Linked DNA regions of Mus musculus: regions 1, 2 and 4 are each reported to be linked to region 3. Evidence: microRNA targets listed by miRTarBase, many of them from high-throughput screens and not tested one by one. Region 3 holds a microRNA gene; each other region holds the end of a gene's coding sequence.

Region 1 (4,000 bases), not on the chromosome of region 3:
TGAAGAGGATTACAACTGTTAAAAACCATATTTGACTTTTAATTTTGAAAACAAATTAAATACAGTTAAATAAAAACAGACCAGATGGCGCAGCAGCTTGGGCCCCACCCTCACACCAGCCTTTGCCCATGGTGCTCCTGAACCCCTGGCTTAACTCTTCTGTGGTGGGGCTTTCCATCGAGGGAGCGGGGTTGCAGCCTGGGTTTGGAGGGAAAGTTGTCATCATGGACCCAGTTCTGATTTGCAACAAACTCATTCCCAACAGAGATGAAGGCCGCAGTCCACCAGGGTTATAATTTTAAATAAATACACATGCAGTGAAGGGAGGACATTACATGAAAACAACTGAAGTAGCATCTGCCAAAACGTGAAAAGTAAAAATCCCCATTTTTGTTTTGTTTTGTTTTGTTTTTTTTCAGTTTCCTAAAAAGAGCACTGAGTTTGGCTAAGAAGGCAGCCTTAGCAGCCCGTTTGACCTTGGCATTCACTGACAGTTTCTATGAATGAGCAGTAGGGTGCCCAGACATAAATTCACCCATCGGATAAATTCCCGGTGCCTCTCATTTGATGCCAAGGAGTAAATTTCCAAAACAATATCCAAAGTATAAATGGCTAGGGGGAGATGTCCTACAGGGGGCTGTGGGGTCTGATCCCATCAGGTGGTGTCCTGAAGACTGTGAGAAGTTAAATTCATTTCAACATAGGCAGCTGATGCTATTCTCTGAAAGTTAGATGTGTGGACTGAGTCTCATCCACCCGAGAGTGGATTCGGAATGACTCCCGGGCCTGTCCTATGAGTTTTAATGGAGCGCGGGGGGAGGGGGAACTGGGGGAAGGTGCGGGGTGGGGGGAGCTGTTAGCAGTTAAAAAATAAACGCCTCTTCAGTGGGCTTGCGCCCTTTCCTTTCCCCCACTTGGGAGGAAAATTGTGCTTCCAACTTGTAGGAGCTGGAGTGAGATTACCACCAGAGGGCCCCATGTAGCCAGGACCAGGGGCCTCTCAGATGCTGAACACCCAGGCAGATGGTTCTTTTGGGCGGCTGGGTAGGTGCAACAGCGTGAGCATACTGTTCTGTCCGGGGTGGAGAAGGGGCAGTGGGCACGAGGCGGGTTGGCTTTGCAAGCTTTCCCATTTTGTGTGAGACAGAGTGATTTCTAAAGCAGTATGTGCTCAGGTCGCCCTTCCTCTCAGTGTGTAGACATTTCCTGCTCTTGACCTTGAGCCCATTCTAATGCAGCCCTCACAGAATCGGCTCAGGAAAGGACTGGGATTGCTGGGTCTCACATTTTTTCAGGAAGAGCTCTGCCTCTTTATTATTGTTATCTGCGCCCCGAGATCTGTGATTCTTAGGGGTTTCAGGAAGAGGGCAATTGTCTCCTCAGTCCAAACCCAGCAAGGGGCATTGCAGCCCAGGGGTACTGGAGAGGCAGTGGGGACACTGGGGTGACTTGGTTCTTAATCCAGGTCGATCTATGACCTGTGCTGGCTCTAAGCCCACCACCTTGCCGATTCTGGCGCAGGAGGCTTGAGGGACATGGGAAAGGGCTTTGTTCTCCTACAGCCTGAGGTACAGGGGGAGCTGTAGGAAGGCCCAGGCTCCCCCAATGCAGGGTAGGGTGCCAGGTGGGATCCAAGACAGCCTTATGTCCTGTAAACATGAACCAGAGGAGAGCCAGAGGTATTTCTGATTTGGGAGCAGCTCTGAGGAAGAGCAGGTGTGAAAGAGGAGTGTTGGGGCATCTTCATGCCCCAGGCTGCTCTCTGGTCTTCAGAATGTCCTGGCTGGGCACATGCTGTATAGTCATGCTAGGCCCAAGAGCAGGGAGCCATGGAGAGCCATGCTGCACTCCACAGTAGGGTTTTCTGACCTCCCTCACCCCAGTATCACTCCAAGGCAGGGTCCCCTGCTCACACAGCCCCATCAATGTAGGAAGCTTCCAAGGAGATGTGCCGAGCACAGGCTTGGCTGGCAACCGGAATCCCCAGCTCTCTGGTCTTTTAAGCCCCTGGCCATGTTGCTGTAGAGGACCACAGGTCTGGGATTCTGTGCTTAAATTCTCTGTCTTTTATCCTGACATCAAGCTGGGCTCTCTTGGAAGCCCTCGGAATACATAAGAGTTGTTCCTCTGGAGTCTGCCTCAGAGTGACTATCAGCCATGGGAGAGGATGGCAGGCCAAGATCAGGGTCTGAGAAGGAGGTTCCTGTGTGGGGAAAGTAGGAACAACAGGGGTGTCAGCTTGGGGCAAGGTGGAGCTGGAGCTGCAAGTAGAACAGAATGCTTGATTCCAAGCCCCTAGTGGACGCCATGGTGCCTCCCGGGTTCCCCTTGGAGACATTTTTGAAAAGCAAGTGGTAGCAGTTCTTCTAGTAACATATAAGGGCAAAAGATGGGATGAAGCTTTGGACCAAGGCATTCTAAGATGCACTGGCCAAGGATTTCAGGATTCAGGATGACACCCTGTAGTCCCAGAAACATAATGTCTGCAGATGTACTAAGGCAAAAATTTAATGTAATTGTCTGCTACGAGCCCCTGGATCTGTGATAGGGTCTAGAGTAGCAAATTCTGGAGCAGTGGATACAAGAGGCAAGAGCACAATAGGCCCCATAAAAATATTTTGCTTGGCCAATCATTTAGCATAAATCTCTTGGGTTAATGTGTCACTTTGGGCACGTTGTTTAGCTTTTCTGACAGCACTGTCACCTCTAAAGTGTAGGCAGATACTCTGACCTAATTGAAAGGGATATAAACAATTAAAAAAAAAGATCTATTGCATAGGATTTGTTACATGGCAGAGATTGATTTCAGTGCTCTCCACCTAAGAAAAAGCCAGGAGCAGAGAAATGTCACTAGGCCAAACAGAAATGTGGCACCTTGGCTTGGGAGTGGGCTCTAGGGTTTGCCTAGTGAGCTCTTTCACCTGCTATTGAAAGCTACAGGGTGGAACAACAATATGAACTAATCAGTACCCCCCTCTCCCCCCGAGCTCGTGTCTCTAGCTGCATATTTATCAGAAGATGGCCTAGTTGGCCATCAGTGGAAAGAGGCCCATTGGTCTTGCAAACTTTATATGCCTCAGTACAGGGGAATGCCAGGACCAAGAAGTGGGAGTGGGTGGGTGGGGGAGTGGGTGGGGGAGTGTGGGGGGGACTTTTGGGATAGCATTGGAAATGTAAATGAAATAAATACCTAATAAAAATATGGACAATAAAAAAAGAAAGCTACAGGGATACTGATCTGGTGTGGTGCATCCTCATCACAACTCTATGTTAGAAGTTATCCACAGAACCCCGTGAGCAAGTCCATACTGCACCTCGTCTCTGTGGGTCACACCCCATGGCCAGCAGGACAATAACAAAGAAAGAGTGACACTAGCAGGACTCAGCTTTATGCATGGAAGCAGCCAGTTGTTGGGGACAGAATCTTTGGCCATGCTTCTGCCCACATGGGTCTTGGGCTCCCACAAGACCCAAAGGAAGAGTCCTTGGAGATGGAGGATGTATCCCAAACTGGTGCCACTTGTCTATTGCACTGGCCACTCTGGCCTTCTCTCCTACCTGCATCTTTAGTTTCAGATCTCCACTGAGGGGTCGGTGAAGCCCTTCTTCCCCTCATTGACCAGCACTGGCTTCTCTGTTCGTGTATGCCAGACCAAGATCTGCATATCCGGAGACACAAAAGAAAGTGGTGCTGATCCTCAGAGCATTCTGTCACCCTCTGGCTCCCTTCCACATGTGGCAAGTATTTCTTCTGCCCCCTTCCTTTCTACTTCTGTTCCATCAAGGTTTTTAAACCGTCCTTCACTCATCCCCTCTTTCTTGCTGTTTGTATATGTGACGCATTCAAAATGTCTTCTGAGACCAAGAAAATCTAAGCTACAGAAAACAGACACATCTCAAGATTTCTCAAGTCTTCATGTGTGTATGTATGTACATGTATGTATGTATGTATGTATGTATGCATGTATGTATGTATGTATGTATGTATGTGTCTATGTAC
Region 2 (4,000 bases), not on the chromosome of region 3:
ACGAGGCTTTGTCTTGGGCCCACTGGTGCTGTACCTGTTGGTGGGCACGCTCTTCCTTCTGGCAGGCTTCGTGTCACTCTTCCGCATCCGGAGCGTCATCAAGCAGGGTGGCACTAAGACGGACAAGCTAGAGAAGCTCATGATCCGCATCGGCATCTTCACCCTGCTCTACACGGTGCCAGCCAGCATCGTGGTGGCCTGCTACCTGTATGAGCAGCACTACCGGGAGAGCTGGGAGGCAGCCCTCACCTGCGCGTGTCCGGGACCGGACGCTGGCCAGCCACGCGCCAAACCCGAGTACTGGGTGCTCATGCTCAAGTACTTCATGTGCCTGGTGGTGGGCATCACGTCGGGAGTCTGGATCTGGTCCGGCAAGACTCTGGAGTCTTGGCGGCGGTTCACCAGCCGCTGCTGCTGCAGCTCTCGGCGGGGCCACAAGAGCGGTGGCGCTATGGCCGCAGGAGACTATGCGGAGGCCAGCGCCGCGCTCACCGGCAGGACCGGGCCGCCTGGCCCCACCGCCGCATACCACAAGCAAGTGTCCCTGTCGCACGTATAGGAAGGCCTGGAGGCCGAGGCCCAGGGACAGTGCTGGAAGTTGAAGGGGGCAGTTGTTTCGCTTGGTAGCTTTGTGAAGGTCACTTCCGTTTACCTTCTTGGTGCTGATGCCCCCTCCCAGAGTGGCTTGGAGAGGAAAAGGGGGCGGTTTCAAGAGATTACCTGTCCCCAGTCTTCTACAGGGGGCTCGGCTCGCAGGGCAGTGGGTTAAGTGTATTCTAGTTTGCATTTCTTACTGCTTTCTTTAGAAGTACCTTGTTTTTAATTTATATGTATTTTAAGTTTTAACTTTGTTGCATTTTGGCAACAAAATTTACCTTTGCTTTGGGGGCTACATAATCCTCAAATTGGCATTGTAATGAGGTTACTGTTGGTTCAGGTTTTTTTGGACTGTGTGGTCTAAATTAGGAAAATATATTTCCTATACGTGTCTTTTTTTTTTTTTTTTATAAATGTGAACAGTGAAAGGCTGCTGTGAGTGGGAAGGTGTGGAGTGTGTGTGTGTGTGTGTGTGTGTGTGTGTGTTTTAAGGTAGTTTCTTCTTACAGTGCTTAAAATGTCCAGGACACTTAGAGGCCAGAGGCCATCTGCTCTTTCTGTGTCTAGCCCCCTCAAGTCCTCTGTGAAAGTAGACCATGATGTGGTTAGGACCATCCCTCACATGATAAGGTTAGAGTTTTGTGAGCCTCCTTAACCTTGCTCAGCAAGCGTTGGGCTCTTGGCAGCCGAGCTGCCATCTTTCTCATCCCCGATAGAGCCAGCCGCCCTTGTCGTGTCTTGAATAAGTTAGAGGAGGCATTATAGAGCGGACCTAAACATTTGCCTTGGAGCCTGAGGGATGGGGATTGGCTGAATGTGAATTCTGAACTAGTGAGGTGGTGAGCCTTCTGCTGGAGAGGGTGGCTCTTAAGATGCTCCAGAGAGCCCCACCCCCACCCCCCACCCCCGAGCTTTTGAGAATAAAAAATTAGGCTACAAATTTCAGTAAAAATAAATTCACTCCCTTTTTCTGGAAGTAGTTAGGACTCTTTGCTAAAGGGGGCTCTCTTTTAGATTAAAGGACAAAAAACGGATATGCTTCCAGTAATTAAAGTAAATTCCCATTGCTTCGAATCTGCGGCTCCGGCCCACCTCCTTTATCATGTTAAACAGTCCTCCTTGCTTTTCTTATTCCTCCTGGTGGAGAGTGGTGATTAGAAACCACACCCACCCACCAATGAAGTGCTCAGACTGGGGGAGGGAGGTTAGTTACCTGGGAACAAACCTTGGCTCAGGGGGAAAACAAATGGCCCTGAACTCAAGGTTTAAAGCCAGATAGATATATTCCCCAAAGCAGCTACACCATGCCCTAGTAGCCTGAAAACCAACAAGACTCCTAACTTAAGCTTTGTAATATGGGGGCTACTGTAAGTGTAAAGCCACTGCTGGAGAGACCAGGTTTCTTTCCCCCCCCTTTTGAGAGAGCCTGTATAGTGATGGACACCCCCTTACCCAGTTTCCCTGCTATTAGAAGAGTCTGTTTGCTTTCCTAATCTATTTAACTATTCATTCACTAAGAGTGTGGGGCCATTACTGGGAAGGAAATGGCAGGGCGTACCAGTGACCAAGGCAGAGCGGGGACTGAATTTAGGGATCTAAAATGGCCAAGCCACTGAAATGTCACCAAGCTTTCCTAGAGAAACAGCTGGAGTCTAGGCATCCCGATTTTCTTTTGCAGCAGCTGGGGGGTGGGTTGGGGGTAGGGAGAGTTAAGCCTGAGCCAGCTTTATGCCCCAGGGACTGAGTGGAAAAAAGCGTAGTTCCCACTGGGAATGTAAGCAGTCAGAGGGTGTTCACATTTGTAAAATACTCTGCCCTCGCTCACTGGAGTCAGAATTAGAATTTCAGTGGCTTCCACAAGACCTTGTACACCTAGATGCAGGACTCTGTGAAGGTCTTATTCCGATGCCCTTTTCCTTCCGGGAACCTCAACACACTCACTGGCTATGCACCACTTCTGTTTTTCAAATGAGGTTCTTTTCTTATCACCTTGCCCTCTTGCCTTGTTTAGCATGGTCTTCCCAGAATCTGCTGCTCCCTCCCCACCCACCCCCCCTCAGTCTGCTGTGCATAGTTAGGGTTGTTCCTCTCTCACAAAGAAAATCGAGAATTGGACATACAGTGTATCTAAAAGTTGTGGGGTGGAGCGGATGAAAGTGATTTAATTCATCTTTTTTAGAATGATTATTTTTTTCCATCTAAGCAACATGCCAAAGCTGTAAAAAAAAAGAATGATTAATAATACCCTTTGAACAATACAGCAGTTGAAGTGGGCGCAATGCTAGAGCTGGAGGCCGGGAATGCCTTTGGATGGAGCTTCAGAGGCCTGGAGTTTTCTGTCCTCTGCTCCCCTCTCCCTTACCCTTAGAGAGACAAAGCGCACCTGCTTCCCTGAAGCCAACAGGAGTTTCTAGCCAGCCCTAGGGGAGGGAAGAGGGAAGCTGCCTTCGGATGACTACCCCCTCTTCCCACCCTCTTCCCACCGCACGTTTTCCTCCACTTTGCATATCTGTACTGATAACAAGAAGCGAAATGAAAAGCCTTGGGGGAGTTCAGCAACTTGTGCACCGCCAGCCTTGTGTAGCTGAGAGGACTAGGGTTGGTCTCAGATCCAGGGCGCGTGCCTTTGGCCACCTCACTCACCTCTCAACCCCTGGGATGCTTCACAGATTAGAGAGTGAGGATTTAGGTAGTTTAAAGAAAGAAGCAGGACCTCAATGACTCCGATGGCCAGATATTAGGAAGGCTTTTTGTTTTTTAAATTTATATAATTTCCCTCCTCACATTTTGAAGTTGTCTGAGTTGGAAGAAAATCCTTTTTCTTGGTGCCTTATTGGTTTCTTCTTGCAATCCTTTTTGTCACAGTTTCCTGTGATCATTACCAGTGGCCAGGGCCAGTGTGTGTGCGCGCGCGCGCACGCTTGCCTTGTGTGCACTTGTGCGCATGTACAAGCTTAAATAATGTGCGGATGGCACTGGTTCTAAGTTGGTATTCATTAGGCTGTTCCCTCCTGGGCCAGGGCAGCACTAATCTTGACACCGGCTGCCAGGAGAAAACATCATGGATCATACACTGAACCTTAATAACAGCATCAGTGACCTGCACCGGCGAGTGTGGCTGGGAACCCCAGAGCTAGGAAGCACGGTTGTATATTTTAATGAACTGCTGCCCCTGCTAAGGAAGCTGCTTTCACTTTTGTGCTCTATCTACAGAAAGACCCAGGGGGGTAGGAGGGACAAAGCTTTGAATAAGTGCGTTCTAACACTGGCAAACAGGACTGAGCACATCACAAATCCAGGCAGGTGTGAGGTACAGCGGCTAAGAATTGTCTGCTGCCTCTCTCTGCCCTTTCTTGTCGCCAAAGTCCAATCAAGTGATCCTGGGAAAGAAACAGCCTGGCTT
Region 3 (4,200 bases):
TCTCCTTTTGTGACTTCCATTATGTACCCTAACTATAGAATTCTTCTAAGACACTTTAATTTTTTGTACAATGCTTAAGACTTATTACGAGTGTTATTTGCTATATATGTTGGATTATAACTTATATTTTACCAATAATTGTCTTTTTGTGATAATTGATACTGAAGATTTTCCATTTGAGCGTCTTTGAGATGAGAATACATAGTTCCGTGCAGCCCTTTCTTCTACCTAGAGTGTTTTGTGGTTAAATGTGCTTAGGCTTTAACCCAGGACCTTGCACATGCTGGGCAAGTCCTGCTCTTGTACACCTTAATCTTTTTTTTGTTTGTTTGGTTTTTGTTTTTTTTTGTTTTGTTTTGTTTTGTTTTGTTTTGTTTTGTTTTTCGAGACAGTGTTTCTCTGTATAGCCCTGGCTGTCCTGGAACTCACTCTGTAGACCAGGCTGGCCTTGAACTCAGAAATCCACCTGCCTCTGCCTCCCGAGTGCTGGGATTAAAGGCGTGCACCACCACCCCCGGCCTGTACACCTTAATCTTGAAAATCAACTTTAATCCTTAACCGCTTTGATGGTCCCCATTTTCTAGTAAAACTTTGTTTCTCCACTTGATATGTTCCCATTTAATGATCACCACAACAGCCTTCTGATGCATTCCAGTGAGGTTTTAAAGGCAATTATCTAACACCTAAGCACAATCATAAAAATTCTGTGCACCAGGAAGACTATAGTCTACCCTTGCATATCTAATATATATGTAGAAAACAAGCGCAGGAACTCTGGGTATGTGGGATAGAGCATTTTGGAGGATGTTCCTGTTGCCTGCTCATGGTAGAGCATGTCCCCAACATGTGTGTTACAAAGGGCTTAATCTCTAGCACAAAAAAAACAGGCAATATTATTCACTTCTACATTTTGTTTTTGGAATAGCTGACAATGAAAATTACAAACAGTATTTTATAAACATAATCTGTAAATGGGAAAATCACATCAAGGATACATTCCCTTTGTCTACCTTGAAATGATCCAAGGCCAGCCTTGTCTACAAAGCCAGTTCCTGAACAGCCAGGGCTACATCGAGCAACCCTGTCTCAACAGGGTAAACAAGGAATGAAAGAAAGATTGATAGTCTCTTACTATGTTAGGTAATGTAGCTTTTATGCAAACTTTAATCAGTGGTTCTGAAGGCTTAAGTTTTCAGTAACATATTGTTGGAGAAATTTGTATCCAGACATCCTTATTGGCCTTGAATTCGTTTAAAGGTATTTTCTGCTCCTTGTCTAAGGGACTGCCAGAAAATGGGTTATACTGCAAGGTTGTGTTTAGTTGAGTATGGATGAGAATTGGGCTCAAGACACTGGAGCTGCTGTTCATCTTCCTACTTGGCTCAGAGACATGACGATTTATACCAGATTGTCTGTCCATTTTAAACTTCTAACTATGAATATAGATACACCTTAAGGGTCTTCAATTTCAAGGTGCTTATTACCCTATAATCTTAAACCCCAGGCTAAGATTATTTATTGATAATGCTGCCAACAAATGTCTTTTAACTCATGAGTAACTTTTGTCGGGGCTACAAGGGGTTTTTTAAGAGTCTGTTTCCCTCTCAGATCACTTTTTCATGTTGATCTAAATGTTTGTCCACAGTTCAAATCATTTATTATTATTATTATTCAGTTCTCTCAGTAGTCAGGATATTGAATTAGTCCCAAAGATGAGAGATATTCAGGTATATAGATTAAACCTTACAGGCTGACTAGTTACTCGCTAAGAGGTTTGGGGTAGGATATATGGAGGAGAGTTTTACAGGGAAGGAATTTTTTGTCATGGATAGCTGCCATCCTCTCATTCCTTAGATATACATTTAGTTTCTTCTCCATAGAAGAGCCGTATCTAGGAACTGCCAATCCTCAGTAAGACACGGAGATAGCAGCGGTGCCCCATCATTCTCATCTGAATAGTCTCTTGTCACTGGCAGGCTTTCTCCTGAACTTTATTTTTCTTTTGAAGTGTTTAGAGACTTGAAATGTTCATTGCTTTACTTTGAAGCATCAGATATGTGTAATATCCACTCTAGGGTTTCTGATCTCAAAGCATTATAAAGCAAGGCATGTTGGCACATGCCTAGAATCCCAGCATTTCGGGTCCTTATACAGGAAGACCATCTTGACTTTGAGTCCAGTCTGGGTTTCATAACAAGTCCCTGACTGAAACAAACAACAAAATCTATGAACATGTTTTCTACTCAGACCTATCGTATTGATCTTTACTATTCAAATAATGCATTTATAATGAGGACAATTTTACTTAAGTAAATGGTTCAGATTTGGGAAAGGAAGCTCTGAAGTGTGCATGCAAACAGTGACTCTAGGGTTTGGGCATAGGCATTAGCTGGCCTGTTTGTTAATTGCGTCCACTCAATGCTATCTTAGTTATTGTTGCTGTTAATGATGGAGCGGGCAATGCAAGAATTAAAAGAAGAAAGTTAATTATTATTATACCTTTTGAATGGTCAATGGTGTTGTGGGGAGGGATCATGGACGTTTTTAATGATTCACTAATGTGAAGTTAGCCCATGTAGGAAACTCGATGATTCTTCCATTCATGCTCTTGATTAGTAATCTATTGCCTTTCTTCTTTGTTCTAAGTTAAAAGCTTTTGAAAACTTGTGTTATAGCTGAATAAAGGTTTTTGTATAAACACAGAAAAGGATGTTTGGGGAATGGTCACAGTTGACCTGAAGCCGAATTCTAACTGATAACTAGCTATGTTAGTTCTTGTGACTGTCATCCCTGGAGAGCAAGAAACAACAGCTGGCCTTGGTGATCAGGAGAACTTCATGGATCGCGCAGCAACCTGGAGTGGTGTTCCTCTGAAGAAATCCTACTCGGGTGGATATAATACAACCTGCTAAGTGTTCTAGCACTTAGCAGGTTGTATTATCATTGTCCGAGGTTATGGCTCTCGTCTATCAAACTAATCCGTAAGGGCAAGGATGGTGACTTTGTACTCACAGTGCCTAATCCGGTGCACATTGTAGGCCTCATTAAATGTTTGTTGAATGAAAAAATGAATCATCAACAGACATTAATTGGGCGCCTGCTCTGTGATCTCCATGGGCTCAGCTTGTTCCTGCCAGTGGCCTTCAACGTTCAAGCTCTCCGCAGCGTCCTTATTTCTGCAGCTCATTCCTGTGTTCTGTGTAGTATAATCATAGTGGATATATTTTACCTTTCAAACCAATTCCAATTGATTGATAATTGTGCCTCGACTGTGTTTTATAAAAAGGATTCCATATCTGGTTCTTTTCTATCCTGAGGGTGTGGAAGGAAGGGATAATAGCTCATGTACCATAAATGTGATATTTTCTATGAAATACTGTATTTATGCCTGTGTTTTGGAAATGCCTGCTTGTCATTGTTGCATCTCTGTTGTTGTTACTATAATCGCTACCGATTACTCCCTAGGTTGGACTACAGTGATCACTGAGTAGGAGCTTCGTCTTTAAAATCTGGGGTGTGCTGTTATGGTTGGTATTCATTTTCCTTTACCCGCTTTCCCCATACCTCCATTTATAATTTTATTGCTGCTCATAGCTCCAGAAGGATATAGTAACAGAGCAGGCATGGCCTCAGTGTGGTAAGCTAAGTGAGAACAGGAAGTGGAACCAGGGTAGAAAACCCCAGTCTTGCCCCTAGTGACACACCTCAAGCAAGGTTCTCCTTCTGAAAGGTCCCATTACATTCCCAAATGTAGCCACCACCTGGGATATGAGTGTTCAAATACATGAGGTAGGGCCACGGTGTTCCTTCAAAGCACCACAGAGGGCAGAATGTACACCCTGCTAGAATAGCTTTCTATGAAAGGATCCATCTCTTCACTGGAGCAGGCAGACATATGAAGAAGACAACTTGGAGTGGTCGTGAAAGGATTTGAGGTTTGGCATGGACTCTAAGAAGCACGAGATTTGTGGTTTTCCTTCTTTGTTTCTTGCTAGGTAGTCCTGGCTGTCTAGTAACTACCTACAAAGATCAAGGAGACCCCAATCTTGTAGCAATCCTGCTGCTGCCTCACAATTGTTAGGATTATAGACATGGGCACATGTTCATTAGAAAGTTGCACTGTTCTCTAATTCATCTTTTAAGATAAACTATAGAGGGATGAAGATTAGCATGTTACACCACCACAGATAGAAACCATTC
Region 4 (4,000 bases), not on the chromosome of region 3:
AGTCTCCCTGTAACAATTATTGGCCTCAAAAGGAAGAGATTCTCAGTAAAGAGCTGTTGGCAATTCTCAGTAGTGTTCAAAACAACAGTATGGAACAAGATTAAAAAAATCAAGCCAAGGTGGACCTACTTTAACTAAACATCAGGCATCACTTTTATTTGTGGAAAGAATATCGAAAGTTAGAATGAAAATTAGCATAGTTTAACACAGACTGTTAAAAGAAAATACTGTCAACATCATTTTATCTGAGAATCATTTGTATACTGTCATATTTGTGCTAGAAATCAAAAGAACATTTCTTGACAAAAGGATGTAGGTAATCATTTCCTGGAAAATTATCTACTTGGAGATTATTTGGGAAGAAGGAGTTCATAACATAACTTCACCATGATTATCCCGACCCCACAGTGACTGTGACTACACAAAACGGCACTGGTCACTAAGAACAGACAGCAGAGATTATGTAAAAAATAATAAAAATAATAATTGTAACAACAAAAAGCAAGTTTTAAATTAAACTCTCAAAGAGGGAGGACTAACCTTGAACAGAAGGGCCACTGCCTAAAGCTCATATCCAGTAAAGAGGACAGTTAGAAGACAAATAACAGATCCTTAAAATTCAACTGTATTAAAAACCATGTAAAGCTGTTAGACTAGAAAAGACACACCACACTTTCAACAATATAATTTTTACCGCTCAAGTATCAAAATGAAAATACAAGTCTAATAAAAAAACCAGTTCCCTAACTCACCAGTCTCCGTCCTTGTAGCTTTTTAGTTTTCTGGATGATGGTTGTTCACATTACCCAAGGCAAAGTGGATAATTTTCTGATATCACTTAAGGGATTTTTAAATCCCTTAGACCCTTCAGCTGGGGCTAGAAGATGGCCATGGTTAAGAGCATTTGCTTCCCAGCACCCACATGGAAACTCCTAGGAGTCTGCAGCTCCAGTTCCAGGGAATCTCACACTCTCTTCTCTTTGGGCTTCTACAAGCACTAGGCCCGCATGTAGTGCACTTACATACATGTAGACAAAACTCTTAAAATAAAAATAACCTAAAAAAAGTCTCGGCCTTCACTGTTAAAAGCTTACAAGTCTTATACTGATGAATGAATCAACTAACAAATAGGACACATAGGGGAACATTAAGGAAAATTAGAACTCTAACATTAACCCTTTGGAGAGCACTTGTCCAACACAACATCATTCCACGATCTCAAAGAATAAAATACCCATCCCCAAATATATCCTCCCTTGCCTTGGCTAACAAGGATTCTGTAGAAACTTCACTAGCTTGACTAACTTGCCCACCATCTTTGAAAGGCAAAAGCCTGAGGTGGATGGAATCTTAAGCTTTAGTTTTTGATAGGCTGCAAATTTTCAGACTAAGTTTTAGTATTAGAAATGTAAACAGTATTATGCCAGACAGAGAAAGGAACAGAGAGGAGGAGTGGGGAAAGGGAGAAGGGTAGAACACAGACACAGAAGATCCTGTTATTTTACACTCCTTGGGGGTTCATTTTGGAAATTGTAGTAAAGGAAGAAGATCTGAGAATTATTCCACCATGCTTATGACATAAAGACCCTTCCAAGGACAGCCCCCATGTGCTGACTAAATATAATTCCTATCTAAATGACTCCAGTGTTCCCACTGATCTCACTCTTAATACACATAATTCACAACCACAAAGTTAATCTGGATTTTGTATAGTTTGGTATAAATTTAGCAGTGTGATTACAGGCAATTATTTTAATAATTCCATCTCTAAATTATATCTTCATTTACTTCCAGAAATTGTGAAGACGTTAGAAATGTTTAATGAATTGTTTTATGAAAATACCACAAGTCACATGAAATGTTTCTTTTTCTTTACAGGGTTTGTCTTCAGTATCGGAAGAGTTTCAAATCCCCTTGACTAAAATAGCAGACCTCAAGAATGTTTTCTCTATGTATGCTTTCCTTCATAAATATTTACAATTTCTTTTAAGAGTATGTGATTTCCAAATATTATTAATCTAAAAATAATTCAATTAAAAAAATAATTTAAAGGGTATTTTTTTTCACCTTGGTTATTCCAAATCTAAAAACTCTAACCTTTTCTACTGGTTCCCTCCAAACCACTAAAAGGCACGGCAGTGATCTATGAATATGTGCATGAGTCAGGACACATGGTCACATCCTTAGTAAAGATGTGCAGCCCTGTGAGGATGGAGAATGGAGTGCCAGATATCCTCATCCTGTGCAAATAAGGGGGAAAGAAATGAGTACAGCCGTCTAAGTCTGTTTCCTCTCCAGTTAGATTCTGAGAATCAGGGAGCAGAACCAAGAGATCCACTCTGAATTATCATATTATAAACTCACCTAAGCATCGGGGGAGGGAGGGGACCAAATGTCGGCATACTAGCCTTCTCCAAATATGATATACCCTAAAGCTATCACACCTTAACTAACAGCTAGAGTGCCATCTAAATCCTGTAAGAAAGGTTGAAAGGTGTTAAGAAGCCAATAATGCCCCAACTCATCTACTTTTAAAACTGTTTTTAAAAAAAACTGCCCATCTGTCTATCTGCCACAGACCTAGTAAGTATTACCATTATCCAGGCAAGAGTGGAGTATATTGGCATGGCCAACAAAAACTAAGAACATATAATAGTTAAAAAGACAATGCAGGCTATGTAACATATAATTACATTAGTTTAACAAATATTAAGTTGTGTATTTTTTAATGCTAAAAAGCAAGGCCTTTAAAATTCCATTGTTTTAGAATGTTTTTAAGTAGTTACTTTAAATGTGATTATTTCCTAAACCACACAAGAGTAAAATAGAGCATTTATTGATGGAATAACAAAAGTGCTTTTCTTAAATATTCTTCAAAATACATTTGTACAACTTACAATAATATATCCAAAATAACTGTATATACAAAACATTACCTAGTTTTTAATGTATGTGCTTTTTTTCCCCAAAAATTACAAAGTAACTTGTTTTTAATTTTTTTTCTTTTTTTTTCTTTTTTTGGCAAAGTTCAACCTTAACAGAGCTGACAATTTTAAAGGTTGGTTTAAGAAAATATAACCTGAGGGAAACTGACACGCAAGAGCCAATGACAAGCAGAGGATTTGAAGAATAGTTTTAGTTGGTTAAAAAAAAGAAAGAAAGAAAAAGAAAAAAGGGAAGAAAGAAAAAAAATTTGTGATACTTTTCACTTTACAAAAGTAAGCTAAAATGAAAAGGGCACTGTAAAATGATGGAAAGGAACTGTAGAATGTTTTTAGTATCTCAAATAGCCAACAATGCATGTCAAAGAATGAATACAAGATTACAACAGTCTTGTATTTACTTTGTATTTGGAGAAGACAATGAAATAAGTGGCCTCATTCTATTTTCTTTTAATTGCTATTAATATGGTTGATTTGATTGGCTCTTCGATGAATTTCATCCAAGAAGTTCTCCAGTTGTTCTATTAGCATTCGTTTCTTAAACCTGTGTAAGAAAAATAAGAGCATTCTTAATTACCTACTAATGAACAGTATATACTAGCATGTTTCAAAGAGAAAAACTGGCTTTGGGAAAGAGTCGTTTGTTTTAAAGTAAAATGAAAAAGAAAAGAAGGGGGTAGGGGGAGGCTAAAAGAAGAACTGTGGTAGGAGACTGGAGGTGTGGCAACGTCTGATTTGTAAATAAAAAAGATAATTAAAAAAAAACAAAAACCAATACGTAAAGTCTATTGGCAACTACCTAAACATGAGCTGACCAAGGACAGTACTAACAGACACAGGCTAGAGTGGATGAAGACTCAGGAGGTTTCAGCTCCAACAACGAACTAATGGATAACCAAGGAATGCTGAGAGCAGGACAAAGAGTCTTCTTCCAGTTTCAGGTCTGCCCTGAAAACATAATATTATGTTTTCAGGTAACATTAAATAGGCACATAAATCCTTGAGAAATTATGGACGTTTTCCGTGGTAAATTATTATATTCTTTTAAAATTCTTGAT

What was found. Region 3 holds the annotated microRNA mmu-miR-374b-5p (AUAUAAUACAACCUGCUAAGUG, at 2,894-2,915, shown strand). A microRNA usually pairs through its seed, bases 2 to 8, with sites in the 3' UTR of a target mRNA and lowers its output. Matches are read on the target gene's strand: a 7mer-m8 pairs with bases 2 to 8, a 7mer-A1 pairs with bases 2 to 7 and ends in A, and an 8mer does both.
Region 1: miRTarBase lists B3gat1 as a target of mmu-miR-374b-5p. Seed matches in the 3' UTR shown: 7mer-A1 at 291-297.
Region 2: miRTarBase lists Fzd5 as a target of mmu-miR-374b-5p. The part of its 3' UTR that is shown has no 7-base or 8-base seed match.
Region 4: miRTarBase lists Ints6 as a target of mmu-miR-374b-5p. The part of its 3' UTR that is shown has no 7-base or 8-base seed match.

What each region holds. Positions count from the first base shown.
Region 1 is chr9:26,757,352-26,761,351 of GRCm38, reverse strand. It overlaps B3gat1 (beta-1,3-glucuronyltransferase 1 (glucuronosyltransferase P)), which reads right to left. Exons shown (of 7, transcript NM_001310766.1): 6 at 3,559-3,659; 7 at 2-2,203. The coding sequence ends at 3,573. Among named protein-coding and RNA genes, the nearest start is that of B3gat1, 26 kb to the right of the region's middle.
Region 2 is chr1:64,731,402-64,735,401 of GRCm38, reverse strand. Fzd5 (frizzled class receptor 5) reads left to right here. Exons shown (of 2, transcript NM_022721.3): 2 at 1-4,000. The coding sequence ends at 559. Among named protein-coding and RNA genes, the nearest start is that of Fzd5, 4.3 kb to the left of the region's middle.
Region 3 is chrX:103,571,827-103,576,026 of GRCm38, reverse strand. Mir374b (microRNA 374b) reads left to right here and starts at 2,873; the gene lies at 2,873-2,967. The region is part of intron 9 of Ftx (Ftx transcript, Xist regulator (non-protein coding)); the gene reads left to right. Mir421 (microRNA 421) reads left to right here and starts at 3,031; the gene lies at 3,031-3,106. It overlaps Mir374c (microRNA 374c), which reads right to left and starts at 2,942; the gene lies at 2,894-2,942.
Region 4 is chr14:62,690,189-62,694,188 of GRCm38, forward strand. It overlaps Ints6 (integrator complex subunit 6), which reads right to left. Exons shown (of 19, transcript NM_008715.2): 18 at 3,344-3,486. The coding sequence ends at 3,393. Serpine3 (serpin peptidase inhibitor, clade E (nexin, plasminogen activator inhibitor type 1), member 3) reads left to right here. Exons shown (of 9, transcript NM_001199945.1): 9 at 1,879-2,055. The coding sequence ends at 1,922. Among named protein-coding and RNA genes, the nearest start is that of Serpine3, 29 kb to the left of the region's middle.